Linked DNA regions of Rhinolophus ferrumequinum. Each later gene encodes a partner of the first gene's protein in a complex. Links are inferred from orthologs where the notes say so. Each region holds a gene or a part of one and is shown in the gene's direction. Other genes may lie near its edges.

Region 1 (11,465 bases):
CCTGCAGCTTGAGAGACAGGAAGGGGAGGTCCTTCCCAGAGAAGAGATAGTATGAGAAAAAGCCAAATCATGGTTGCTGCCTAAGACAGGTTAGGGAGAGGAGGCAAACAGCGCAGAACAGGAAGTAGAACCCTAACAGTCCCTTTTCCAGTGGTGACCAGCTCGGTTGGGAGGATGCAACGAGACCAGCAAAGGCTAGAAACAACAGGAGTCCAGTAACAGTGAAGACGGGGGCTGGGCAGACGACGGCGAGGCTTTTCCTGGCTGTTTCTTGAGGGTCAGGCGGAGTGAATGGGCCGGGTCAGGTTGGGCGATCCAGGAGTCGTCCTCCAGCTGGGCTCTTTTAACTCAAGTGTGACGGATCCATGGAGCAATGCTTGAAACTTTAAGAGTGGTGGGAGTAACAAGTATGACAGTGTGAGGGCCTGTCCACCGGGGTCGGAGGGGCTTGCGCTTCCAATCTTTGACCCAAACTTGATCTCCCGGGGTAAAGGGGTGTACCGGGGCCCCGAGAGAAATGGGGGCTCTTTCCAGAATGTAAGCACGTACATATGTGAGGACCTTGCCTAGCGTGGCCATCTGGTTTTGGAGGCTGGAGAACCCCAGCTGACGAATGTTGCCAGGGAGGCTGGTTAGCAGGGGAGGGGGCTTCCTGAACATAATTTCGAAGGGAGGGAATCCAGATTTGCCAGGGGTGCAGCGCGCCCGAAGGATGGCTAGTGGTAGGAGGTCTACCCACCCTAGCGAGGTCTCCTGGTGGCGTTTAGCTAATGTCTCCTTGAGGGTACGTTTCATGCGTTCAGCTTTCCCTGAGCTTTGTGGTCGGTATGCTGTATGGAGCCTCCAGTTGATGCCCATGGCGCTGGTTACCGTCTGGAGGAGTTCTGCTATGAAAGCTGGCCCGTTGTCACTGTGGATAGGAAGTGGAATCCCGTAGCAGGGGATAATCTCCCGTAGTGAGGAGAACCTTGGCTCCTTCGCAGCTCTTCTCAATCCAAGTGGGGAAGGCTTCAACGCACCCAGAGTAGGTACAGACCAGGACCAGCAAGTACTTAGCACCGCGGCAGTTTGTCCTGTCAGTGAAGTCGATTTCGAGGTCCTCAAAAGGCGCGGTACCGCTTCTCTGAATCCCGGGGATGGGGCTAGAGTTGGACTTTGGATTGTTCTTTGCACCAGTGAGGCAGCGTTCTCCGATGGGCTTGCAAAGAGCTGACAGCCGGCTAATGTAGAAGTTTTTGGCTAGGAGGCCCTCAAGGGCAGTTTTTCCTAAGTGGATTAACTTGTGATATTCGGCGGTTACTTGAGGACCTAGCAGGGCTGGGATGAAGAGTCTTCCATCGGGCAGTTGCCACCATCCTTATGGCAATCTGGTGGCCCCTTCTGACTTTGCCCATCTGAGTTCTTCTTTTGTGTACTGCGGGAGGGACGTGGTGGTGGTGTCAGTGACCAAGAGTAGTTCACTAGGGCTTCCCATCGCCACTGATTTGGCCGTGGGGTCGGCGAGCCTGTTCCCGACTGCTGAGGGCTCGTTGCCTCTCTGGTGGCCCCGACAAGGATAACTGCAACCTGCTGGGGAAGCCAAATGGCTTGTAGGAGCTTAAGGATTTCTCGTTTACTTTTAATAGTTTTTCCCCCGAGGTCAGAAGGCCTCCTTCTTTGTATATAGCCCCGTGGATATGGACAGTAGCAAAGGCATACCGAGAGTCGGTGTAGATGTTGACTTTTCGGCCCTCGGATAGAGTGAGGGCTCTTATTCGTGCCCATAGTTCTGCCCGTTGGGCCGACCATCCCGATGGAAGTGCCCCTGCCTCAAGTACCTCATCTGTGATGGTTATTGTGTACCCCACGTGATGTTTTCCGTCCCTCAGGAAGCTGCTGCCTTCGTATACAGAGTAAGGTCCAGGTTAGGGTGGGGGCTGTCCCGGAGGTCGGGCCTGGTGGCATAGACCTCGTTGATAACTTCTACACAGTCATGTTCTGGATCCCCTTCCTCGGTTGGCAGGAAAGTGGGTGGGTTCAGGGCACGCACAGTTTCTAACGAGATCCAAGGGTTTTCCAGGAGTAGCCCTTGATACTGGGTCAGCCGTGCATTTGACAGTCATCGGGGTCCTTGACTGTTCATTAAGGTGGTGACCGAGTGGGGTACCTTAACTATGAGTCTCTGGCTTAAGGTGAGCTTGTCTGTCTCTTTGATGAGAATCAGACTGGCTGCTAGGGCCCGCAGGCATGGTGGCCAACCTGCTGCTACCGGATCTAGTTTCTTTGAGAGGTAGGTGACAGGACGGAGCCACGGTCCAACTGTTTGGGCCAGCAGTCCTAAGGCTATTTTGTCTTTTTCATGGACAAATAAGTGGAATGGCCTCTCAGCATCAGGTAACCCAAGGGCTGGGACCTATCCAAGTGAGCTCTTGAGCTGCTGGAAGGCGTGTTCTTGATCTTCTGTCCATAGCATGGGAGCCTTTTCTTGACCAGTTAGAGCCTCATATAAGAGCCGCGCTATTGCCGAAAAGCCAGGAATCCAGATCCGGCAGAAGCCGGCGGCCCCGAGGAACTCACGGAGCGCTCTCCGGTTGGTGGGCCGAGGGAGAGAAGTGATGACTTTCTTCCGCTCGGTGCTGAGGGCCCGCTGTCCTTTGGAGATGACAAAGCCCAAGTATTGTACTTGTTTTCTGCAGAGCTGGGCTTTCTTCCAGGAGACTCTATACCCCGTCTCGGCTAAGTGGGACAGGAGCACTCATGTCGTGGTTTGGCACTCTGTCTCGGTGGCACAGGCTAGGAGCAGATCATACACATATTGCAATAGAGTGCAGCGGTATTCTTCTCGAGGGAAGGTGGCTAAATCTGAGGCTCGTGCTTCCCCAAAGAGGGCTGGGGAGTTTTTGAAGCCCTATGGGAGCCAAGTCCATGTCGGCTGGAGCTGCCAGCCGGTATCAGGTTCAGTCCATTCAAAGGTGAACAGTGATTGGCTCTGGGGCGCCAACCGAATGCAGAAGAATGCATCTTTCAGGTCCAGGCAGGTGAACCATCCGGCCTCTGGGGGCAGCTGCCTGAGGAGAGTATATGGATTTGGGACTACGGGGTGTAGGGAAACCGTAGCTTGGTTTATCACTCTTAAATCTTGCACTGGCCGGTATTCTCCACTGGACTTCCTTACCGGCAGGAGGGGCGTATTCCATGGCGACTGGCACTCTACGAGCATCCCTGCTGCTCTGAGACGGGCGAGGGGTTTTTGAATCCCTGCCCGGGCTTCCCTGGAGATGGGGTTGAGCGCCAGGCCTCAGCTCCACCAAAACCGGAGCCTTGTGTTTTGCTAGCCCAGGCGGGTTATCTTCAGCCCAAACCTCTGGGAAATCGGCCCTGTAGGCTTCTGGGTTCTTTTCTACACTGCCGGTCCTGGAAAGCCTCCATTCTTCTTCCCTTGGGGTGGTGATAGACAGAATAAGTTTCTCTGACGGGGTTGCAGTGACATGGTGGCTTGACCTGATGGTTTGAAGGAGATTTGTGCCCCTAACTTGGTAAGGAGGTCGCGTCCTAGCAGCAGGATTGGGCAGTCTGGTAAGTAGAGGAACTTGTGCGACATGGTGTTTCCTCCTAATTTACAAGTCCAAGCCTGGCAGAATGGCCGGCTCTTAGCTTGATCCCCGGTGGCTCCCATTATGGTAACTCTGCAGTCCCCGAGCAGTGCCACTGGCATGGTGACTACCGAGTGTTCTGCTCCAGTATCTACCATAAAAGTTACTGTTTGGCCCTATATATCTAAGTCAACCGTGGGCTCGTGGGGGCCGAGGTCGAACGAGCCCGGTCCCCCTCAGTCCGATTTGATTTCTGGTAATCCTATGAAGTCGGGCTCCGGTCTGGTTGGGTTGGGACCACGGGGAGGCCGAGGTTTTCCTTTCTGTCGTTCGGGGCACTCGTTTTTCTAATGGCCCAGTTCTTTACAATATGTGCATTGGTCTTCTTTTAGCGGGACGCGAGGACATGGGCCTGTCTGCCAACAGGGAGGCCCTTTTCTTCGGGGCCTAGCCCCTCCTTGTTGGAGAGCACCCGCGAGGAGGGTTACTTTTTCCTCTCATCCTCTTATCAGCCTCTCATTTAGCTACAACCTCACGGTACTGATAGACCTTGTTAGCCACCTCCAAGAGCTGGGGGATATTCATTCCTGCAAACCCCTCGAGTTTTTGGAGTTTTCGGCAGATATCAGGAGCTGCCTGAGCGACAAAGGCTGTGTTTATCATTCTCTGATTCTTGGGGGCTTCCGGATCAAATGGAGTGTAGACCCGGAACGCCTCACAGAGACGTTCACAGAAGTTGCCAGGAGTTTCTTCCCCGTTTTGGGTTACATCGGCTGTTTTGGACATGTTGGTTGGTTTTCGGGCTCCTGCCCGCAACCCTCGTAGGAGAGCATCTTGGTATCGGCGGATTGCGCCTCTCCCTGCTTCAGTGTTAAAGTCCCAATTAGGCCGTGCGTCTGGAGCAGCCTCGGTCACCCAGGTGGCAGCATCCAGGACTCCTCCAGAGGCCACTTCTTCTAGCCACTGCGTTGCTCCCTATATGATCCGCTGGCGTTCTTCGGTGTTGAAGAGTGTTCAGAGGAGCTGTTGACAGAACTCCCAGGTGGGGCGATGAGTGTGGAAGATAGATTCCATAAGATCTATCATGGCTTGCGATTTCTCCGAGTAAGCTGGGGTATGATGTTTCCAATTCAACAGGTCAGTGGTGGAGAAAGGCTGGTAGTAGATGACGGGGTGTCCTCGCTGGAGGGTCCCGTCATCTCCAACTTGGTCTGGGCTTCTGGTCTCCTGGAGGGTCAGCTGAAGCAGAGGCGGGTCTTTGGACCGAAGTCAACTAGCAGGCCCCAGTGAGGGTTGGTGTGTAGGATCAGGGGCTCCCTGGGGAGGGCTTGGGAAGTTGGGTGTCGGCCTGGGGGGCTCAGATGGAGGCGGAGTGTCTGGAAGTGGTGGGGCCGCACCAGCCGTTGGCCGTGATGCGTAGGGAGGTGGTGGTGGCTCTTCGTGGGGGTCTCCCTGGTAAATGGTCTTAGTCATGTCTTTCTGGGCACGGCCTTGTGGGTTCCGTGCAATGAGGATCCTGGACTGTCCCTTACTATTGGAGTAGAACCGTACCTAAGGAGGAAGGGTTCGGCCTATTTCCAACCACGAGTCAATGTAAGGGAACTGGTATGGATATCCTGGGGTCCCGGTGACAACTATGTAGACCCGGCAAATCGTGGGGAGGTCAAGAGTGCCTTCTGGGGGCCATTCCACGTCAAAACTTGGCCACTCCAGTTCATATAAAGTGCGGAGATGTCCTGGGGTCATTTTGACCCCCTAGTCGCCTCTGAAACCTTTTCTGAAATTCTTTAACATGCAGTCTAGAACCCTGGGCTTCCCGTGACTCCCTCCCAGGATGTTCGGTGTAGTGTAGACAAGGGAATGGTCTCAATCAGGCGCCCGCCTGGCCGTGTTCCTCGCGGGAACTTTGGGTACGTCTTGGCTAAGGTGTGCCCGTATAAGCCCGGGGTTCGGTCGCACTCCGAGAGTGCGAATCACCATATGCCGTAGGATGCTACCATGGAACGCAGGTTGGGGCTCACCCCAGCTCCGTAGCCGACAGGCAGTGGATCCATACAGAATCCTGTTTGGGACCAAGCACACACACATTCATTCCGGGAGGAAAGACGCCCTCCCCCGGAATGGCCCTAACTAGAGTCCAAAGTGGGACTCAGCAGGAGGTGATCAGGCTCCCCTTCTGCCCTTAGGCAGGCCTAACTGGGTCCCGGGCCCCGGGTCTTACCGTGTCCGATGTCCTGGTTGATTGTCCGTCCTTTCTCTCTACTGGGGTCCAGCAGGGAGTCACGGGCCGGAGCTGGTGGGAGGTCGCTGGTCCCGGGCCGGCGGAAATGAGCAGGGCGCGCCTAGCCCTGCCCCGGCTCTCCCGCCACCCTACGGTCTGCTCTGGCCCAAACCGGTGGCTCAAGGGGCCAGCGCGGTTGGGTTTCCAGGTCAGGGAACCAAGAATGTTACGGATACCAAGACCGGAAGAACCTAAGCGGCACTCAGAGAGTTAGGAAGGTCAGCTTTATTATGCCGGCGGGCTCAGCGGGATCCTTCCCAAAGACTGAGCCCCTAGCAAGGTTTTGAGCAGGTTTTTGAGTTAGGAACTTCCTTCAGTCGGGGAAGGGGTAGGTGTGGTCCGGTGATTGGCTCCGGGTGTGGCTTGGAGGGGGTTATGAGGAAGTGGGCTGGGGCTTAGGCTGGGGACGTCTCTCTCCGCTCCGGCCACCATTTTAGCTCACTTTCCCCATCACTGGGACGCCGCCTTCCCCATGCACAATCGGACCACCACCCTGCCCGAGGTGGCCGAGCTTGTGCACGCGGACGTCGACCCCAGCCTTCCCATAAGCCTTTGGGGGCCGGCTCTGAAGCGAAGGACGGAAGCAGCCGCTCTTGGTTTCCGGCTACACGACAGCGGGCGACCCGGAAGTGTTCCCATTTTGCGCAGTCTGGGCTCGGCGGCGGCCGGGCACGGGGCGGCCGGACCACTATGGGATCGTCAAAGAAGCACCGCGGGGAGAAGGAGGCAGCCACGACGGCGGCGGCGGCCGGCACCGGGGGCGCCACCGAGCAACCGCCGCGGCACCGGGAACACAAAAAACATAAGCATCGGAGCGGCGGCGGCGGCGGCAGCGGCGGCGAACGACGGAAGCGGAGCCGGGAGCGGGCAACCGAGCGCGGGGGCGGGCGGCGCGGGGCTGAGGCCGAGACCCGGAGCGGCGCGCACGGGCGGGAGCGTAGCCAGACCGAGCCCTCCGAGCGGCGCGTGAAGCGGGAGAAGCGCGATGACGGCTTCGAGACCGGTGAGGGGCGAGGCGTGCGCGGGGGGATCCCGGGGCTGGCAGGCCCTGGGCGTGGAGGCAATGCCGGACGCCGGCCCTGCACTCCAGGCCGTGGCACCCGCGGGCTCTCTTAGTCAGCACTTCTTAAAGGGTCCTCTTACCATTGTTTGGGATTAATGGTGGTTTCTCTCTCCTAAGATCTGTGAGAACAGATTTTTCTGTGTTTTCTTCAACTGGCATATCACAGGTCCTCGGTAAATGGGTTGAGTGAGTGAGTAAATGAGTGAATGAATGAATGATTGAATGAAGTGGTACCAGGGTGTGCAGAGGCAAGAGAAAATCAGGTATTGGGCAAATCGTGTAGGGCTCATAGTAGAGACATGAAGCAGTAAGATCCGCAGGGGTCCAAACACGAGGTGCCCTGTTATGAAATTTGAACTTTGTCTTGAGGGTCGTAGGGAGCCGTGCAGTTGAGCTGGGGAGTGAGTTGATCCTATTTTGCACAGATCACTGACTGCATCCAAAACTAAGTCAAAGGTAGTCAAAACGAGACCAGGTGAGGACTGATGCTGGCCTGCACCAAGGCAGCAGCAGGGGGATGGAGAGATGTGGAAAGACTGAAGAAGTGTTTTGGAGGAGGAATGGGGGTGGGATGAGGGTGGGAAGGAGAAGAAGGGATTGAGGATTCAAATTTTGGTGTCAGCAATTAGGTGGGTGGTGGCGTCATCTACTGAGCTTGAGTTTGGAAGAGGCATTTAGGGGAAGAGAATGAATTCAGTTTTGCAGAGTGTTGTGTTTGATGTGCTTGGGAGAAACCTGGGAGGACCAGGTTTGGGTGGGATACAGCAATTTGGGAGTCAGGAGTAGTTAGGTGGCATGCGAAGTCTCCTGAAGAGAGTGGGGAGTGAGAAGTCAGGCTCAGGACTAGAGCCTGAGAAATGCCAGTATTTTAGTAGTAAGCGGAGCCTGATGCTACCGGAAAGGAAGTAGAATAGCCAAAAAGACAGGAAAACCATAGAATCTTCTGTCATGAGATTTGTGGAAAGAGGATTGTTAGAAGACGGGTCACACACTACAGGAGATCAAGCAAAACCAGAGCTGAAAAGAATGCATTGGTTTTAGAAATAAGGAAGCTGGTGACTTTGAAGAGTGCCTGGAAGGGTTGGGATCCAGGGTCCAGGTGGAATAAAAGGGGAGGAGTTAGGCTGGGGGCGAGTTGCAGCAAGGATGAGCTTGTGGTGGCAGCTGGTTGGGGGAGCTCCACCTGACGGTTTTTAGCTTCTGGCTGTGGTGTTCAGCAAAGGTATTTGCTGTTTGTGAGGTGGGTGGAGGAAGTTTGAAATGCTTTTTTATTGCTGTATCCCCAACATCCAGCAGGGGACAAGCACCAGTAACGTGTTTATTGACATGGTCATGCTACCAACATGGTCTCTGCCCTGTGGAGAGCCACAGACCCAGACATGACTGACCGTGCTGTGGGGTTTGGGGAGGGCAGTTCATTCTGGTCAATAATTGAAGCACTTCACGGAAGAGCTGGCGATTGATCTTGGCGTTTGGATAGGACTTGTCAGTCAGTGAGGCCAGAGAGGGCAGTGCAGGTTGAAAACACAGAATATACAACAGTGGAGAGGTGGCAAAGGGTGGGATGCAGAAAGTTGGACCTTTGGGGTGAGGAAAGGAAGGGATCTAGAAGAGGCGGGGTTCTCAGACTGGGACTCAGGGAGAAGGACTTGCTGGGGTGGGAAGAGGCTGCCGTGTTCTGGTGTCTCAGCAAGCCCCGGGTGCTGGTGAGGGGCCCTTATCGTTGGCCGTGCAGCGGAGCGAAGGCTGTGGCTTTTTGGCCCTGCGTTCGCCTCCTGAGTCGTGCTTCTTGTTCCAGCTACCGGCTCCAAAAGCAGCTCAGGAGATGCCTCGTCACTCAGCATCGAGGAGACCAAGTGAGTACTGTGTCCTGTATGTTTGCAGTCTTTTCTTCTGAGCAGTCGCTTGGGGAGGCTTCCGCACACTAAAGTGTGCTGGTTGGCATTGGAAGTGCCATATAAATCACGTCAGCCCACCGTTTGTGTTACAGAAGAGGACACTAAGGCCTTAGAGGAAGGACGGCATTCCACTGGTTAGGGCCAGCCAGGCGGAGCACTTGTGTTCCCTGATTGGGAGACCTGTGTCCTTCCCAGTGCCCTGGGCTTCCAGGGTCAGGCCCTGTGTTGGGGACCCTTAGGACCACTCTGCCCCGTCCTGTTTTCATCCCCCATCTATCCGGAAATGCATTTGGTGCCCCATCTCTTTGACAGCTCTTAACCTTTGTATCTCTTACCCTCAGTAAACTCCGGGCAAAGTTGGGGCTGAAACCCTTGGAGGTCAATGCCGTCAAGAAGGGTAAGTATGGGGCTGAGGGCATCGGAGGGGTCTTTGAAGACAGTGGGGTTGGAGCATGTGTGTGTGTGCTTGCCAGTAGGCATGGGCCTTCCTTCTTGCTGTCACATGGGGATCTGACGCTCAGCTTATTCTTGAAGTTTGCACAGTTGGCATGGCTCCTCACTCTGGCTGTGTGGTAGCGGTAGATGGGCTGAGAAATGTGCACAGTTGCTCCAAACTGATCGGGGCTGTGCAGGTGTTGGTTATCTCTTAAGCATGATTTGAGTGGCTTTGGAAGGCCTGGTAGGGGGTTCCCATCATGCTGTGTGGGGTGACATGGGAGTGTCGGAATAAAGTGGGTGTAGGGAGGTAAAGGATCCTTCCCCCCCTTTCCTGGCCCCTTCTGGTCACCTGAGCTGGAAGGGGGCAGGGTGAGTGGCTCCCTCCTCTCCCCACCAGCCATGGGCAGGCATAGCCTCACGTCTGGGCCCTCCTTCCAGAGGCGGGCACCAAGGAGGAGCCCGTGGCAGCCGATGTCATCAATCCTATGGCCTTGCGACAGCGAGAGGAGCTACGAGAGAAGCTGGCAGCTGCCAAAGAAAAGCGCCTCCTGAACCAAAAGCTAGGGTAAGGGGGTCCCAGCCAGGGAGGACAAGGGAAGGGTCTGAGGAGGCTGCCATGGAGCTCTGGAGTCGGGGTGGGGGGAGCAGGAGCGGGGCTCCCCAGAGAGTCACTTTCTTCCCACTTCAGGAAGATCAAGGCACTGGGGGAGGACGACCCCTGGCTGGATGACACTACCGCCTGGATCGAGAGGAGTCGGCAGCTGCAGAAGGAGAAGGACTTGGCGGAGAAGAGGGTGAGGGCCTAGGCAGCGGGGTTGGTTGCTCAGGGCCGCTGGTGGCTTCACAGGCTGGTGAGGCAGGAATCCCACCCCTGGGGCGTGAGGCCGGGCTCAGAGAGGTAGGAGGTCCATGGAGTGGCGTCCGCTTTGGGTTCTCAGCGGCTTGCCTGCAAGGCCTGCCATTTGTGTGCTCCCACTTGACAAGGCCATGCGTGTCTTCTGGTCCTGAATGGCCTGAGCTCCTGGGTCACTCCCCCTCCTGTCCCATAGGCCAAGCTGCTGGAGGAGATGGACCAAGAGTTTGGTGTCAGCACTCTGGTGGAGGAGGAGTTCGGCCAGAGGCGGCAGGTGAGGCTGCTGTGGCAGCCGTGGGGAGTTGTAGGGTGGTGGTGGGAGGCACTGCTGTCCATGGTGCTGGGATCCCAGGGCTGGGGGGTTTGGGCGCCTGACTCGGCGGGACCTCCCCCCTCCCTTCTAGGACCTGTACAGTGCCCGGGACCTGCAGGGCCTCACCGTGGAGCACGCCATTGAGTCCTTCCAAGAAGGGGAAACTGTGGTCCTCACCCTCAAGGACAAGGGTAGGTTGGGGGGCTGGGGTCATCCGGTTGGGGGCAAGGTGCTACTGAGTCGAGGGCGTGTGTGAATGGCCTCTGCCCTGCCCCCAGGCGTGCTGCAGGAGGAGGAGGACGTGCTGGTGAATGTGAACCTCGTGGATAAGGAGCGGGCTGAGAAGAACGTGGAGCTGCGGAAGAAGAAGCCCGACTACCTGCCCTATGCAGAGGACGAGAGCGTGGACGACTTGGCCCAGGCAGGCGGGCGGCGTAGGGGCCGGGAGGAGTGGGTGGCTCTGTGGCTTCTGGGGAGCCAGGCTGGGTCCCAACCTGTACCTCTTGCCTTTGCAGCAGAAACCCCGCTCTATCCTGTCCAAGTACGATGAGGAGCTCGAGGGCGAGCGCCTGCACTCCTTCCGCTTAGACCAGGGCGGCATGGCCGATGGCATTCGGGAGCGCGAGCTGGAAGAGGTCCGGGCCAAGCTGCGGCTGCAGGCTCAGTCCCTGAGCACGGTGGGGCCCCGGCTCGCTTCCGAGTACCTCACACCCGAGGAGATGGTGAGCTCTGCGGCCGCTGCTCACACCGCGAGGGAGGCAGTGGTGCCTCCTTCCGCTCGGGGCTAAGGAGGGAGACCCAGTGTTCATTTGGTCCTGGGTCCTTGGTCCTTGTTGGGGAGCCGAGATTGGCAGCCCCGGGGCGGTGCTGCCGGGAGGCAGTGGGTGTAGACAGAGCAGCGACTGAGCCAGGTGAGCCTGAGATGCCCCATCTGAGATGGGGATGGTGGGAGCTAGCTACCTCTTGGGGGGCCATTGCGAGGATGAGTGACAGTTTGGGAAGTGGTAATTTGATAGCTGTGTGTGGGTTTTGTATTGGGGGTGACTG
Region 2 (9,162 bases), on another chromosome or scaffold:
GAGCGACTGCTCATGGGGACCAGACTTCCTTTTGGCGTGATGAAATGCTCTGGAACTAGATAGAGGTGATGGTTACAAAGAATGGTGAATATATTTAATGCCACCGAACTGTACGTTTTAAAATGGTTTAAGTGTTGGACCAGCCCGGTGGCTCAGGTGGTTGGAGCTCCATGCTCCTAACTCCGAAGGCTGCCGGTTTGATTCCCACGTGGGCCAGTGGGCTCTCAACCACAAGGTTGCCGTTCAACTCCTTGAATCCCGCAAGGGATGGTGGGCTGCGCCCCCTGCAACTAGCAACGGCAACTGGACCTGGAGCTGAGCTGCGCCCTCCACAACTAAGACTGAAAGGACAACTTGAAGCTGAACAGCACCCTCCACAACTAAGATTGAAAGGACAACAACTTGACTTGGGAAAAAAGTCCTGGAAGTACACACTGTTCCCCAATAAAGTCCTGTTACACTTCCCCAATAAAAACATATATATATATATATATATATATATATATATATATATATATATTATATATTAAAATAAATTAATTAATTAATTAAATTAAATGGTTTAAGTGTTAAGTTTTATGTTACCTATGTATTTTTCATCACAGTTTTTAAAAAGCCAGTGTGGAAGAATTTATGGAATGAAAAACAAACGCAAAAGAAAGACAAATGCACACAAATATATTTGCAAAGGCAGCAAAAACCTCAGAAAGGAAGAGTAAGAAATTGATAACACGGGGGCGCTTTGGGGAGGGAACCAGGATGTGGGGAGGGAGGGTGAAAGTGGGGGTGGAAGGGAGATACCGCCAACATTTCTTGCACCATGTACATCAACTACTCAGAAACAAATGTACAGACACTTGCTTTCAAAAAATCACTAGAGTTTTTTAAATTGTGGTAAAATATACATAACATAAAAAGTACCATTTTTAAGTGTACAGTTCAGTGGTATTAAATACATTCACATTGTTCTGCAACCAACATTCAGAACTCTTTTTATCTTGCAAAAGTGAAACTGCCCCCGTGAAACACTAACTCCCAACCCCCCTCCCTCAGCCCCTGGCACCCACCCTTCTATTTTCTGTCTCTATGAATCTATCGTAGGTTATTTACATAAGTGGAATCATGTAGTATTTGTCCTTTTGTGATTGGTTTAGTTCACACAGTATAATGTCCTCAAGGTTCATCCATGTTGTAGCAGGTGTCAGAGTTTCCTTCCTTTTAAAGCCTGCATAATATTCCATTGTATGGATGGACTATTTTTGTTTCTCCATCCATCTATCCATCCATCCATCAGTGGGCAATTGGGTTGCTTCCACCTTTTGGCTATTGTGAATAATGCTGCTATGAGCATTGATGTGCTAATATCTTTTAGAGACCATGCTTGCAGTTCTTTTGGCCACTCAACTTTTGTAACTTTTTTTGGAAATAGTTTAAGACTGACACAAAGTTGCAAAAAAGTAGTACAGTTTCCCTGAACCCTTAACTCTGCTTCCCCCAGCGAAATGGTCTATCTTACTAACTAACCACTGTCAAAACCAGGAAATTGACATTAAAACAATGTAATGGACTCAGGTACCACCGCTGCTTTCCCAGAGTTTTGAAACCAAGACATTTCATATGTAAAGAACTGTTCCTTTTAAATTTTTTATGAATTTTCTTAGTGAGAGAATGGAGGGCGGCAAGTATGGTGTTTAGAGCCAGCTGGCCTGAGTTCAAATTCTGCCTGGCTCATCACATGGTGCGTACTCTTAGATGAGTTATTTTCCCATTCCAAGCCTCTGTTTCCTCAACTGTAAAATGGGGATTAAATAGTGCTGCAAGCTTTTTATATTGGAATAAGTTCAGATCTACAGAAAACTTGCAAAGACAGTACAGAAACTCCCCTATGCCCCTTACCCAGCTTCCCGGAATAAGAAGATCTTATCAGATGCATTTGTACAAGAAATTGACCTGGGTACATTGTTTTTAACCAACCTCCTGATGTTGTCTGGATGTCACCAGTTCTTCCACTCATGTCCTCTCCCTGTTCGTAGACTCTGTAGAAGGAATCCCGAGTTACATGTAGTCATCACGTCTCCCCAGTCCTCTTTTGTCTGGGATGGCTCTTAGGTCTTTCCTTGTTCATGATCTTAGTCTTGGAGAGAGCTGGCCAGGCGTTCTGCAGAATGCCCTCCATGCTGGTCTGTCTGATATTCCTGCCATGATTAGAATGGGGTTATGGGTGTTTGGGGAAGACCACAGAGGTGAGATGCCCTTCTCATCTCATATTATCAGGCAGGGATCCCTGATAGCCACGACTTATCACCAAGATAAAATCTGGATCACTTGGTTCAGGTGATGAATCCTGGGGCTGCCATAACAAATGACCACAAACTTGGTGGCTTGAAACAACATAAATGGATTCTCTTCAAGTTCAGGAGGGAAGAAGTCCAAAATCAAGTGTCAGCAGGGCCACGTTCCCTCTGGGGACTCTAGGGGAGGATCTTTCATGGTCTCTTCCAGCTTCTGGGGGCGCCTGGTGTTCCTTAGCGAGTGGCTGTATCACTCCAATCTCTGCTTCTGTCTTCTCTGTGTCTCAAATCTCCCTCTGCCTTTCTCTTAGAAGGACACCAGTCATTGGATTTTGGCTCTATCCTAAATCCCAGACATCTCTTCTCATGGTCCTTAACTTAATTACATCTGAAAGGACTCTTTTTCCAAATAAGGTCACATTCACAGGTTCTGGGGGTTAGTACTTGGACATATCTTTAGGGGGTCACCCTCGACTCACTACATGTGGTATCTGCCAGGTCTCTCTACCATTTAAGTCTCTATCAAGTTACTTTTTTCCTCTTTCTCTATTCTTTAGAAGTGAGTCACTGAGTCCATCTTTGGGGGTTTTGGGGGGAGGATTTACATATAATTCTTTTTTAAAGTGTGTTGTCCAGGACCCATCAGCTCCAAGTCAGGTAGTTGTTTTAATCTCGTTGTGGAGGGTGCAGCTCACAGCGGCCCTTGCGGGGATCAAACTGGCAACCTTGGTGTTATGAGCACCGCGCTCTAACCAACTGAGCTAACCGGCCGCCCCTACATATAATTTTTAATGAATGAAAAATATTCTGTCTAGTGGATGAACCATGTTTTACTCAACCAGTTCACCGCTGTCAGACCTTTATGTTCTTTCTGCTATTTTAGAATTGGCAACATTGCTGCAAGACCTCGGCAGAGTGGTTCCCTTCATTTGCAAGACCTCAGTATAAATGTTCAGAAAAGGGCAGGACAATTTTATGGGCTTTGAGACATAATGCCAATTTTTCCCCCACTTAAAAGGAAATATATATTAACTGGTTTCACTACAACCTTGCCCTATTTTCTTTTTTTTTAGTGAAGGGTAGGGTAGTTTTTTGAGTGTGATAGGTACATTAGTCCTCATTCTTTACATTTCTGCTGTCAGAAACACAATTGAAACTGGAATTTAAAAAATAGTATTAGTACAAGGGATAGGTAAAGATAGGATTTATGAAGCATCGGATACAACTGGATCCAGGATTAAACAGGGCCAAGACTCGGAGGTGGAGAGATGGCCATTTCTGTACCTGACAAACATTACCCCAGCTCTGCAATTCCAGCATCATCCCAGGGAAGCCTTCTGATTGGTTAAGCCTGGGTCATGTGTCCATGATGAGGGGGGAGGAGGAAATATGCTCAAACTGCCTCAAATAGTGGCCCATACAACCTCTCATGTTTTTAGCTCCTACATGTCAGAATCCAGAAGGCCTAAGTGTGCAAATGAGCAATTACAATGTGGCACAAATTGGGTAATGATGAAAATCAGTGCAAGGTACTGAAGTTCAAAGTATAAGAGAGGGAATGATTTGATTTGGGGGGTCAGCCATTGAAGAGTTCATGGAGTAGCTATGCGTTAGTGCAGGTTATGACACCTGCCAGAGACAGAGTCCAAACTCTAAGTGGATTAAGCAACAAAGGACAACTTCTTGGACTCATATAAGTGGAAAGTCAGATCTAATGGTTTCAGGTATAGCTGGATCCAGGGGTTCAAACCATGCATCCCTGTCCACTGAGTAGCTCTTATGTATGTTGGATTCTTGTGTATACTGGATCCTGATGGCACTGGGCTTACACTTTCTCACTTGTAAATCTATTTCACTAAATAGGAATATCTCACTATTTCATCATCTCACTTTTAACAACCTCCATGGAAACCACTCTTCTCCCTCCCAGCCCTCAGTATCCTTCTCAAGGGAGATTCTAATTAGCCCTGGTTGGTCACATGCTATCAATTTAACCAATCACTACGGTCAGGGGGACAGAAAACTCTGATTGGCCATCTCTATGTAGAAAGGACTGACAAAAACAGAAGTTACCAGAATCCACCACAAGGGGTCACCCAAGCAGAGTTTTCAAGGATAAATAGGAGTTTGCCAGTTGGGCAAAAAGAAAAAGCCTCTGCACATAGAAAAATCTAGAAAAGTCAGAAAGGGGTGAACCAGCACAAGATTTTCTTCCTACTTCCACCACCATATTAGTGAGGGGACATATCCTGTACCCAATTTCCGTTGTTTACATCAAGTGGCCTTTACCCTGGACAAACAAGCCTTGGCTGGTCATCCTGATCCCTCTAACCCAATTATCACATCACTGTTGGGTTGGCCACTTACCAGCGTCCTGCACACATCCCAGGCCTTGCCAGCTTCCCTGGGAGCAGCCCTGAGCTGATGACAGATGGGACTTAGAGAATAAATGCCCCAGCTGCCCTGACCACGGATGGGGCCATGATGAAACATGAGTTCTTATGCTTCTCCCTGAGGTCCCCAGCTGGACAGACCCCCAGTTGCCTTTTGCACCACCTACCCTTTGGTGCCCCCTGCAGGGATCCTTCCCTCCCTGTGTCAGGTCTTCACCCCCAATGGGGGCTTCCAGGAGTCACCCGCTATGTACACTTTGTGCCCTTGAGTCCTCATCTCAGGATCTGGTTTCTGGGGGAGGGAGTGACCCCAAACTAAGACATGAAGGACAACTGTTGGTCCTGGAGTAATGGGTGCCTTGTACTTTATCTGGGTTCCACATTTGATCAATCCACACAGTAACTGGTTATAAAGATATGTCCTAACATAACGTGTAAGTTCTAAGTCCCGGTACCTGTGACTATGACCTTATTTGAAATAAGATCTTCGCAGATGTAATTAAGGATCTTGAGATGACATTATTCTGTATTTAGAGTGCGTCTATTAAGAGAAAGGAGTATCCTTATAATAGAAAGCAGAGGAAGATTTAGACAGACACAGACAACACCATGTGAAGACAGAGACAGAGATTGGAGTGATGTGTCTACAAGCCAAAGAACTACAAGAATTGCCAACAACTAGCAAAAGCCTATGGGCCTGGGCTGAATTGTTCCTCAGAACCTTCTATAGGAACCAACACTGCTGACAATTTCGATTTCAGATTTCTGAATTAAGTTCTATTGTTTTAAGCCATCCCGTTTGAGGTAATTTGTTACAGCAGCCCAAGGAAACTGATACATATGCCTATTTATTTTGTTTACTGTCTGTCGCCCCAAAGGGCTCCTAAGCCTGAGGAGGGCCAGCTTTGTCAGGTTTGTACACTTGTGTTTCTAAGAGCAGGCACATAGTAGGTGCTCAATAAATATTTATTGCACGCTTGTGCATTAAGTGCTTAGTATGTGCCAGACGCTGTCCGAAGTGCTTTCACACAGCTTAAATCGTCTCATCCTTACTGCAACCTTCTAAAGCAGACACTATCATTACATCCATTTTACAGAAGGGCAAACTAAGGATCAGAGGAGCATAGTCTAGATTCCAATTTACCAAAAGACGTGCCTTAGACAGGGATCAACTACAATAATGAGAATCAGAAGAGTAGGAGCCCGAAGTTACTTCCTAATAACCACTAAGCCTCAGTTTCTACATTTGCAAGCTGCAAAAAATAATCAGCTTTGCCCACAGCGTGGAGCCCAGAAGAGCTGTTTCACTTGCGCATGCGCCCTTACCCACAGGCTTTCGGCCCCGTTGCACGTCGCTCTGCCTCCCTTTTGCAGCACTCACTGCGGCACTTTACGGCTTTCCCCATATTCTTGGCAGAAACACGGCCCGCACCGCCCCTTGTGCTTAGCAGGCCCCGCCCTACTCCTCGGGGATTAGTTGCCAGTCCCTTTAGCCCCGTGCTGACTGGTTCGCGTTGCTGCCACTCCAGTTTAGCCTAGTGGCGCGCGGCGGTTCGGCTACTGGCGGGCGCGTGAGCGGCGGCGGCGTCGGAAGTGGCCGGCGTGCCCAGTCCCCGCCGATACCATGGTGAGGGCAGGACGATGGCAAGGTGTCGCCGGGAAGCAGGGGATGCGGCCATTGAAGGCTGTTGGGGCGGGCGCTGGGGCAGGGGCTACGCGGACCGAGCGTGCAATCCGGGCCTGATTCCTGCCCCTCGGCCTGAGGCGGGGAAACTGAGGCCGAAGAGGGCGGGAGGGGGCTCTCTCAGGCACCCAGTCTCTGGGAACTTAGAGTTGGTATCAGTATAGCGGCCTAGCTGCAGTCTTCCCATTTTGCAAACGAGGAAACAGGCCGGAGCAGGTGGGGCCCGGTGAATGCAGCAGAGTGAGTTTTCGGGCAGGGAAGTGGCCCCGAGCGCGTCCTATCCAGTCTAATCTCATGTTTGAAAGCTGGAGCGCCAGCAAGTAGGGGCCCGCCTGAGTTCTCAAATTAAGCCAATTTGGGGGATTTCAGGGTTTGCAAGGCTCCTAGAATGTTAGCACAACCCCCTATGACTGTCGTTTTCAGGCTGAAAACAGACGCAGAGAGGGGGTTTGCTTCTTTGGATCACACAGCGTGTCATTCATTCCAGTGGGAAAGGGGGCTTTTTGAGCCAGGAGTGCACTAACTGCCCCCTTCCAGTTCACAGAAGGAAAACTTGAGGCCCTGACAGAAAGCCTCCAAGGCCAAACCGCTCACACATCGTGGAAGTTCTGGATCTAGGCCAGAGTGACCATGCCCCGGTGTGTAGACAAGGAAATGGAGGCCCCCACAGAGGGATTCAAAGTTGGGTCTCCTGGAATTGCGCCTGGCCGGTCAGCACTTGAGTCCCTTTGACAGGGTTGCCGCATGTTTCTGAGAGCCAGGGGTTGGTGAGGTTTCCTGCTAGCTCCTGCTGGCTGGATCCCTCTGCTGGAGGGCAAAGTGGGCCTGAGGGAACGACTGGACGGAGCTTTGTTAAGCTCCATGGAGGCCAGAGCTTTGTTTACCCCTGATAGAGTCCCAGAGTATAGAACAGAGCCTGTGCAAAGTACAGACTCGTTTCTTTAATCCGAAGAGTGTCCACCAGTGGACCAGGCATGACACACCCTTCGTGCCCACCAGTGGACAAGGCATGCTCACACAGCAGGGCGGGAAGCAGGGGTCACGGTGTGTATGTGGGTGTGATCATTGACAGTTTCCTGAATTGGGAGCGTCAGGAAACCTTTGGGTCTAGTCCTGGATTGAGCCAGACCTGAGAACCAGACCCCAGACCTTGTGAGAAAGCCCAGAGAAAGGAATCCTGTTTCCTGAAGCTTTTCTGACTTTCCCAACTCCACAGGGTCTTGGGAAAGATCCCATCTCCCCTGAACTGGGTGTCCGGCCCGCTCCTGTTTCCCTTGATCCCTTCACACGTCTTCTTCCTCTTCCCCACCAAGTTTTAAGTTTTCGGGGATCCTCCCCTTCCTCTTTTCTGTCTCCCGCCCAGTTTGGGGATGATAGTATAGAAGAAGGCAAGACATGGCCACTGCTCCACGCTGCTGCATCTGTGGAGAGCTATCCGGATGCCACCTCTCCAGCCTCTCCTTTCCTTCTTTGTGGGGTGGGGCGAGCATCCCACCCACCCCATGTACCTCCCTAGGCAGTGCGTGCGTTTCCCTCATGTATTTGTTCAGCAAATATTTACCAAGTCCCTCTCGTGTGTGTGGCCTCATGCTGGGCGCTGGACAAAGTCCACACCTTTTGAGTTTTCCAGTCTAGCAGGAGGCGTGGTGTTTCAAGTCTAGCCAGGGAGACAAGTAAACAAGATAATTAGAGACTGGCTGCGTCCTATAATGGAAACAGCAGAGGGTGGCCCAGGTGGAAACCTCATTCCTTCGATGGGGTTATGAGGACCTGGCCAAAGGAGGTGACATTTGAGGAACGACCAGCCTGCGGAAGGGAAGTGTAGGAACAAAGGTTGGGCGGCAGGACTGGATGGGCATGGTGTGTGAGGAGCAGCGTAGGCCCGTTTGCTGGACCTGGTCAGGCCTGGCCTGGTAGCCCGTCTGGGGAGTGTGTGCCAGGCAAGTCAGGGGAGGGGTGGGAGCAGGTGCTGCTGCCTTCTGCGTTTCAGATGTCCTGTCCGCTGCTTTGTGGATAGGGAATTGCCAGGACCCAAGGAGGCCGTGGGTCCTCCAGGGCGGTGCTGCCAGTAGCTGGGATGAGGTGGTAGCCTGAGAGGCTGTCGCTAGCATAGAGATTGTGAATGCCATAAAAGGACATCAGTGGTCCCCTGCTGACAAGCATCAGCCTACTTTCACCGGCTTTACCAGGACCTTGCTCTGTGTCCTTGGGCCGATCTCTCTACCTCTCTGCGCTGAGTCCATCTTCATTCTCACCTTCCAGGGCTAGCCTGACTCTGTGCCCTCTGTTGATGTAGGAGGAGGACCCGAGTGTCTCATCACCTTGGGCTTGATTCCCACTGCCCAGGAAAGCCCAAAGTTTCTCCACAGTAAAAGGCGACCTGGGTGCATGGCCCTGCATGCGGGTCTGAGCCTCCAGTTTTTCCTGTGCAGCCTAGGCGCAGAGTCACACAGGCGTACCCAAAGGAGAGGGCCGGAGCTGCAGGTTGGTCCTCGTTGGGGTCCCAGTCTGCCCACCCACCCGCCCTCCTTGGAGCAGCTGCCTCTTCTCCACATGGCCCCTTCTTCCTCCTTATCTTGCCCTTCCAGGAAGCCAGTGCAGGAAGCAGGCTTGGGCCTGGTTTCCTATCGGCGCTGGACCTCCCCTGGTGACCTCTCAGGGAAGGCCTGTGGGAAATGGGACCTGTCCCCGCCCAACAAGCCGTTCATGGGGAACCACCCTGTAGGTGTTGAGGACCATTTCTGACCTCCACTGGAGAGGCTTTCCAGTTCCACCCCGTGGAGAAACAGCTGGC
Region 3 (7,707 bases), on another chromosome or scaffold:
CCAAAGGTTAAAATAGGTTAAAGCTAAGCAGTGAGTACATGTTTGTGATTTGAAACCATGTTATCCTCTATACAGTTCTATATATTTGAAATAATTCATAACGAAAACAAGAAAAATAAAATGCAAATGGTAGAAAGCGGAAAAGCTTCGGCTGCACTACTCAGAGAATTCTGGAAATAAGCTGACTATGAAAAATGATTTCCCCACGAAAACTCATCAATAATAAGTGATTATCTAATCATCAGCCAGCATATATTATGTTTGCTATATATATCCCAGACACTACTCTAAGCCCATTCCTTGCACAATCTCAGTTATCTTCATTTTGGAGACGTGGAAACTGAGGCGGGAGGTCGCAGAGTAGCAGGTAAATGACAGGGCCAGGACGCGCCCCGGTATGCCTGGTTCGGAATCCAGGGTGGAGGTCCGGCCACCTGACTGCGGCCCAGGCCCGCCCGGTCGGCCCCACTTACCTTGTAGAGTGTCAGGTCGACGTGTCGCCACAGCCACCGGTCGTTCACCAGCCTCTTCCAACGGTGACAGACCCTGAGGAAGGAGACCCGCCGTTAAAGCAACCCCGACCCCGCTGAGACCGGATCCGCTTCTCCAAGTGCGGCCTCCCCGCGGAGTGGGCGGGGTGGGGAGCGAAGGGTCAAGCGGGGGGCGCACCGGGAGAGGCGGATCCGGTCCCGGACCGGGAGGTAAGAGAAGATCTCCAATAGCACCGAGTCCGGCAGGTCTGTCCAAGTTGCCATGATCCCGCCGACGTGCATTTCACTTCCGGCTAAATGATGTCTGGGACGCGCCCGGAGGGCGCTCCAAGGGGGCAGAGGTAGTGGGAGTGTCGGCAGGGCGATGGCCACGGCCTCCGGAAGCGGGCCGAGAGTTTCAGCTTCACTTTTGCAGGAAGGTGGTTGAGTCCCTGCGCTAGACTAGCGGGGCTGTGTATGCCCCGCCTAAGACGTGGCTTTGAACTTGGATGAAGCTCGGAAGGCGGGGCTACAAGAAGACCCAGTTGGAGAGGCGTGGCTAGGGCGGTGACCAGGCCGTGGGGCAGGACTGTGACGAGGCTTGGGAGGCCACAGCTGGGGACCAAGGCGGAGCCCGGGAGGCAGAGCTGAGGTGATGAAGCGCCCTGAGGGCGGGGTTGGGGGCGGGACCACGAAAGGGGACGTGTCGGAGAGCTTGACTTCTACTTTTTAGTGCTTAATACTTTTTGATGCATATGCACGAGGATATATTTATAGAAGTGAAATAACTGTTAAAGGGCGTGTTGAATTTTTCGTTTTGATTGATAGGGCCAAATTGTTGGTCACAGAGGCTGTGTTGACACTTCCACCAAATGTTACTTTTAAAACAGCAATTCGTAAGGGTAGTGAAATATATTGAAACATTCCCTTATTTCAAGTTGCTGCCAGATTTGTTACCACAAACAACACTGGGGCATTCTTTTATATATCAGCAAATTTCTGTTTACTAAATATCTGCTCTTATCATCCTGTAATGACCCTTAGCAGTCCCCCAAGGCACTTTACCTCATCCCTAGTTCAGAGTGTCTTATGTACCCCAATGCCCCTTGCTATCTCTGTACTACTTGGTCATGTGGGGTCTGTGCTCTCTCAGGTATGTGGGGTTCCCAGATATAGGAAAATTCTGACAATTAAGTTCATGAACTTGTTGCAACAATGTTGCTAACCTTTTTTTGGTTTTAGAGTGATTATTCACAAACTGGACAGTTAACCAAGTTTACTATGTGGAAGTGCTGAAAATGATGACCTGAACTTTTCACCAACAATTCATGGCTCTTGCATCACGACAATGCACCAGCTCACACGGCACTGTCTGTGAGGGAGTTTTTAGCCAGGAAACAAATAACTGTATTGGAACACTCTTTCTATTCACCTGATCTGGCCCCCGATAACTTCTTTCTTTACTCAAAGATAAAGGAGATAGTGAAAGGAAGACAGTTTGATGACATTCAGGACATCAGAGGTAATACCACAACAACTCTGATGGCCATTCCAGAAAGAGTCCCAAAATTGCTTTGAAGGGTGGACTGGGCACTGGCATCAGTGCATAGCTTCCCAAGAGGAGTACTTCAAAGGTGACCGTAGTGATATTCAGTAATGAGGTATGGAGCACTTTTTCTAGATGAGTTCGCGAACTGTATGTATTAAATTTGGTTATTTTCTCTTGCTAATCTGTCTCATGTCTATTTGATTATTAGACCAGCAAAAAGAACCTTGAAAGTAGAAGTAAGTTTCTTCCTCCCTCATAGTATTTAGGTGTATGCATACATACACCGCCTACGTTTTTATTTCTGCAGGATAAATAACCAGGAGACACTTTGATGGCTCAGAGGACACATGAAGTTTACTTTTGACGGGTGCTTTTGAAAAGGTTTTGCTAAATCACACCAAGAGCCTACAATGGTGTTTTTAATAAACACATGCAAAAGCAGGAATTGGAGATGTTGAAAATTGTTTTAAAAAGAAATGCAAGACTCATTAAGATGTATACATTACATGTGTGCAATTTTTGTATATCAATTATATTACAATAAAGGTAAACAATAGATCTATATGCTCACATTTATCCATAAATAAAAAGTAAAACACTATGGTTTTCACATATCAGATTAAGAGATGAAGCAGCCAGCAAATACCACCTTGGCCTTGGTGTAGGAAACAGACCTTCTCAACCACCGCACGTGGAGCACAACTAAGGCAAGTTCTTTGAAGGCACTTTGACAATATCAGATTGCAGCCTTTGTTGGACTCAACAATCCCATTTCTAGGACCTCAGCTTGTCAAAAAGAATGAGGTAGGTCACTCTGTGCTACTTGGAACAATCTATAGGATATTGTTCACTTTTGAAAAAACAAAGTGTAGAGAACAGTACATATAGTTTGATCTCACTGAATATATATATGTGTGTGTGTGTATTATATGCATACACACACACACACATATCCAATAAAATGAATACACAATTTATGATGTGTTTCACTGTATACATAAAGGCCTGTATAAAACTAAGTTGTTTGCTTCTGTCCTTTGACATAACAAAATATTGTATGTTACTTGAAACTACAAGGTCCCTATCTCTATTGAAACATGTTATTAATATCTGGTTTTATCATTTTCTTGGGAGATTCAGTATCACACATGTTTGAAGATGCAGAGACTATCTTTAGAAAATGGAAACTTTTAAGGGTAGTTGTTCCTGGGGAGCGGACTGTGGTCAAGAGGGTAAGCAGACTTTGTGTGCTGCATATATACTTTTGTACTGCTTGACTTTTTACCATGTGCAAGTATTACCTTAAAAAACATAAATTCTACATGTTTATTAATAAATCAAACGTTTGACATTTTTCCTCAAACAAGAGCACTGAAAAAATGCTTCCTGCTCTGGCAGCCATCTGTCCACTGTGGAAGGAAAGATCAAAGGAACTGCACAGAGGTGAAGTCACTTGCCAGGGCCATAAGCCCAGATCTTTCTGATGCCAGCACATGGCCCTCAACCACAGTGCTCTATACAGTCTGTCAGTCGTGATTCCCTCTGGAAAGCCCACGCCAGCATGCAGAGGCAAAGCTCCCTGGCTCCCAGCACTTAGGCTTCCCCTTCAAAGCACCTGTCCCAATGTATTGCAACGACCTCTTCACTTGTCTTCTTGTCTTCCCTCTTCGATCAGAACTCTGGGGTGGCAGGTCGGCCTTAGTCACTGCTGTATCTCCAAGGCCTGCTGACAGGCCAAGATGTTGGGGAAAGCAACTCCCTCCAAACCTAAGATGATTTCCCTCTAGTGAACCCAGAACCCAGGTATCCCTGCCTTTGGCACAGTTGCAGTGGGTTCCTAAGAACCATCTCCTGCCCCGTCTGCAGGGTAGAGGGAAGGGATCCCCACATCCAAGCTCCTGACTGTGGGTCAGAAACCGAGGAAACAAAGGTGGGAAGGGGACCTGCCCAGCTTGCTCTTTGGGTCCTGACCCAGAACTCTCCCTCCTGGGAAGTACCTACCTCCCCCAGAAGGAGCAGCTCTGACAACAGATCTTACTACCACCCAGAGATGGGGATGGGGCTGCCCTGGCCCTTCATGGGAAGCCCCAAGTTATAATTCCCAGGAGGTGGGGAGGCGTCACTAACGTGAGATGTCCTGTCTCCTGAGGCCTCTCCCCCTCTCACCTGGGTCCAGGGTAAGGAGTCTGCGCAGCCTTGGCAGTCTAGTTCCAGGACTTCCCTTTGCCCCACCCCATCTCCTCCGCAGGATGGCTCTGCCCAACTGGAGCTGGCAGCCCCTCACCCCCCCACCCCAGCTCATGGAGACCAAACTCCCAGCCATCCAGACTTTATTTTCCTCCTCTTTCAGCAGCACTCCCCACCCCTTTCCAAACCACCCCAGCCCATAACTCAGCATCGTCATCCTGTGCTTGAGCTATCTTTGAATCACCGAGAAATTAGAATTTATAAAGAAATAAACAGCTAACATTTACTCCCCTCTCTCCCCAATTACATATGTTCATTGTAGATAATCTGGGGAAACACCAAAAGCACCAAAGAGAAAAATAAGCCTCAACAAGTGCACCATCTTGTGGTAAGCACCATCAACACCTTGTGTGACCCTGTATTTCCATGTGAATGCAAACACAAGCTCCTTCCAAACTTCCTGGGCACATCAGTGCCCTCAGCTCACCCTTGACCTTCCAACCTCGCCTCTTGCTGCATCTGTTCTTCCACAGACAGACTCTTACAGGACTGTCAGGGGCTGGTCCAGGACCTGTCCTTGGGGTGGGAATTACTATCCCCTTTCCACAGATGAGGAACAATGAACGGGGCTCACTTAAGGCAAAGATAAACCTTTTACTAAAAAAGTCATACGTCTGGGGCATGACTACTCACCATGACCTGCCCAGTTAGGAATTTATGATCAGATCACCCTGTTAGGTTATTTTCCGTAGCACCCCTTTTCATCCACAGAACTTAGGGAAGGTGCCCCTCTGTCCCACCAGCCCTGGGGAACCACACCAGCAGTCCAGGAGCTGCCAGGCAAGGTTGAGATCTCCTACAAAGTGCACACACCACACTCACCCCCCGCCCAGGGCTCGGACGACCTTTCTTGAAGATACAGACCTGGGAGATTTTTGCACGTGTGTTGTTTCCACCTTCCTCCTCGGTGTTGCAGGTTCGCGACCAACGTGGACTCCATTCTAATAAGTGCTGATATAGAGGTCAGGATCAGGCAGCTCCTCCGCTTATTAACCCCAGGTGGCCCGAGGGGGCAGAAGCAGTTGCCAGAGGGGTGGGGTGAGCAAAACGCTTCCGAGACCCAACCCTGAATGAGGGCAAGAAGTTGGACGGGATGATTGCAGGACTCGACCTGGCTCCCCGTAGCCCTGTTGGTGCAGCAAGAGGCTTCGTGGGGCTCAGGAACGGGAGGTCACACCCCTCTCGGATGTCCCCCAGGTCCCTATGGAGTCCCCACCAACTGACGGTGTCTCCCCACAGCGAAGGGGCCTCAATGAGTTGGGCGCCGGCCCCTGACCTTTGACTCTCCCTCCACGCGCCTTCCCCTGTCCTTGCGAACCGACCCCAGTGTCCCCCTGCCCAGGATCGGACCCCAAAGCCGCGCCTAGGAACCTCAAGCCCACGCCAGGTTTGGGACGATAAAGAACCGGCCGGATGTTGATAGGCACAAGGAGGGGCGGGCGCTTTCGGCCGCGTACTTCCGCTTCCGGTTCTCAGCGTAGACCCTGGTCCTGGTTCTGCTCTCCAGCGAGGAGGTTGTGGCGTCGGCAGGTTCTAGGCGTTTCGAGGTGAGGGGGGCCAGGTGGGGCGCTCCGGAGTCGGGGAAAGCTAATGGGACCCGCCCTCCTACGGTCCACCGGCCGGCGAGAAGCGACCTGAGGGAGGAGGCGCGGCTGCCTGGGATCCGCCGTCCTGGGACGAGAACTTGGGCCCCGGAGGACTCGGGTCTGGGGGGTTTGGGGAGTGAACAGGAGTCTCAATAACCGGAGGTTTTGGGGTCTGGGAGACCCTTGACCTCCTGACTCTGCTGCCTCCCAACCCCCTCCCCGTGTAGCTCCCGACAGGATGATCGAGGTGGTTTGCAACGACCGTCTGGGGAAGAAGGTCCGCGTGAAGTGCAAGTATCCACGGGTGGCCAAAAGGCAGTAGTCTGTGGGGTGCTTGGCATGAGGCATCTCAGTGTGTGTTTGAGGGTGATTTTAGTTAAACGCGGGAGAGGGGGCGAATGGGGTCCTGGCAGAGCGCGTTCAGCTCTGCAGTGTCGTCCTCCCCGTTCCATTTTCCTTAACTCCTCTGCTCCCAGCACCGATGACACCATCGGGGACCTTAAGAAGCTCATCGCAGCCCAAACTGGTACCCGTTGGAACAAGATCGTACTAAAGAAGTGGTGAGTGCAGTGGCAGAGCTGGGGGCTGGACTGTTGGGCCGGGGGAGTGCTGCAGGCAGCCCTTTGCTTAGGCAGGGCTTCCACAGCTTGCCTCCGTGGTCTCTGTCTGAAAGGTTTTTGTCCCCTAGGTACACGATTTTTAAGGACCACGTTTCTCTGGGGGACTGTATCCTTTGTGTGATTTCTTGAGGAAGGATCTACATACCCATCCTGGTTCTCTTTGTTAAATACTGAGTCTATCTGAGATTATGCACATAAGGTGCTTAACTTAGTATGTGGTAAGCATTTACAAAGTGGGAGTCACGTAATTATTTTGTTGGGGAAGGAAGGTGGTTGAATGGTGAAATATTTTGAGGTTTAGAAGACACTTTAAGGTCAAAATACTTATTACTGAGTTCCACCTAGTGTGGACAGGAGGTCAGGGTGGAGTGAGACTCCAGTATGTCTGTTGTGCAAAAGCAGCATGGACTTTTTTTTATAGTTTTGATTCTGTCCAGATCAAAATGACAGAGTCCATAATGGCTTGGTTGGCCCTCAGTGGAGCGCTCAGCACCGTGATCCAGCTGAGAGAGATGAGAGGGGTGGGGATGGAGCCCACAAGGATTCCTTAACACCTTTACTTCAGATGAAATCCACGATGGGATGAACCTGGAGCTTTATTACCAATAGAGCAGAATTCCTTACCCCTGTCCTGCCCTCCCCTCTCGTCACCCCCTACTTCTCCCACCGTCACCCCCCACACTGGTATGGATGCTTGTTTTTAAAAAGTCATGTTAATAAAAACTTAGAAGCAGCTTCGTTGTTGTCATCTTTGAGTGAGGGCTATCTAATGAGGGGAGCTTGATATCTGGTTGTCACTATACTCTCAGTACCCAACTACTCAGTAAGAGCCCAGGGTTGAGTGAGGGTTCAGTGAGGGAGGAGTAAGCGAGTAGATTGGGAGCCTGTGTAGCAGCCCCGACCTCTGGGGCTTGCCATGGGTCTGTGAAGGGCAAGAGATCCTGGGATTATTCTCATCCTAATAGACCAAGGAGCCTCTGGGTAGGGACAGTACATATAGTTAGGAATACAGGTTCTGGATTCAGACAGACTGGGTGGAATCCCAGCTCTGATACCAACAGCGACCCTGGGCAAGTTACTTACCCTCCCTCAGCCTTCATTTCTTTTTCCAAACTGCAACTGATAGTGTTTACTTTATTGTCCTGTCGTGAAGTATAGATGAGATAAAACATGGTTAAACATCTACAGTTCCTGGCGCTTATGAAATCCTAGTGGACAGAGCAAGACTGTGGCAT

What was found. Proteins that work in one complex are often made in the same cells at the same time.
Region 2: SART1 (region 1) and LSM4 share a complex: the UniProt entries of both Homo sapiens proteins name them as parts of the U4/U6-U5 tri-snRNP complex. The link is inferred for Rhinolophus ferrumequinum from reciprocal best matches to the Homo sapiens genes SART1 and LSM4.
Region 3: the proteins of SART1 (region 1) and UBL5 are in contact, whole or in part, in a crystal structure (PDB 4PYU), measured with the Homo sapiens proteins. The link is inferred for Rhinolophus ferrumequinum from reciprocal best matches to the Homo sapiens genes SART1 and UBL5. Residues at the interface, in NP_005137.1 of Homo sapiens: Ser117, Leu118, Ser119, Ile120, Thr123, Leu126, Arg127, Leu130, Leu132, Lys133, Leu135; in NP_001041706.1 of Homo sapiens: Met1, Glu3, Arg15, Lys17, Cys18, Asn19, Asp21, Asp22, Asp26, Lys29, Leu30, Ala33, Gln34.

Annotation. Positions count from the first base shown.
Region 1 is NC_046294.1:5,875,257-5,886,721, reverse strand, and holds the start of SART1 (U4/U6.U5 tri-snRNP-associated protein 1), read left to right. Parts: upstream 1-6,462; 5' UTR 6,463-6,543; coding exon 6,544-6,856; intron 6,857-8,714; coding exon 8,715-8,772; intron 8,773-9,155; coding exon 9,156-9,211; intron 9,212-9,690; coding exon 9,691-9,817; intron 9,818-9,940; coding exon 9,941-10,046; intron 10,047-10,301; coding exon 10,302-10,379; intron 10,380-10,509; coding exon 10,510-10,609; intron 10,610-10,696; coding exon 10,697-10,839; intron 10,840-10,933; coding exon 10,934-11,140; intron 11,141-11,465. UniProt on the Homo sapiens protein: Plays a role in mRNA splicing as a component of the U4/U6-U5 tri-snRNP, one of the building blocks of the spliceosome. May also bind to DNA.
Region 2 is NC_046301.1:51,124,288-51,133,449, reverse strand, and holds the start of LSM4 (U6 snRNA-associated Sm-like protein LSm4), read left to right. Parts: upstream 1-6,162; 5' UTR 6,163-6,308; coding exon 6,309-6,311; intron 6,312-9,162. UniProt on the Homo sapiens protein: Plays a role in pre-mRNA splicing as component of the U4/U6-U5 tri-snRNP complex that is involved in spliceosome assembly, and as component of the precatalytic spliceosome (spliceosome B complex).
Region 3 is NC_046301.1:40,256,608-40,264,314, reverse strand, and holds UBL5 (ubiquitin-like protein 5), read left to right. Parts: upstream 1-5,707; 5' UTR 5,708-5,813; intron 5,814-6,079; 5' UTR 6,080-6,090; coding exon 6,091-6,146; intron 6,147-6,328; coding exon 6,329-6,412; intron 6,413-6,540; coding exon 6,541-6,578; intron 6,579-7,037; coding exon 7,038-7,081; 3' UTR 7,082-7,207; downstream 7,208-7,707. Other genes in the region: FBXL12 (F-box/LRR-repeat protein 12), read right to left, coding at 474-546, 670-773. UniProt on the Homo sapiens protein: Ubiquitin-like protein that plays a role in cell proliferation and sister chromatid cohesion by associating with spliceosomal proteins. Participates thereby in pre-mRNA splicing by maintaining spliceosome integrity.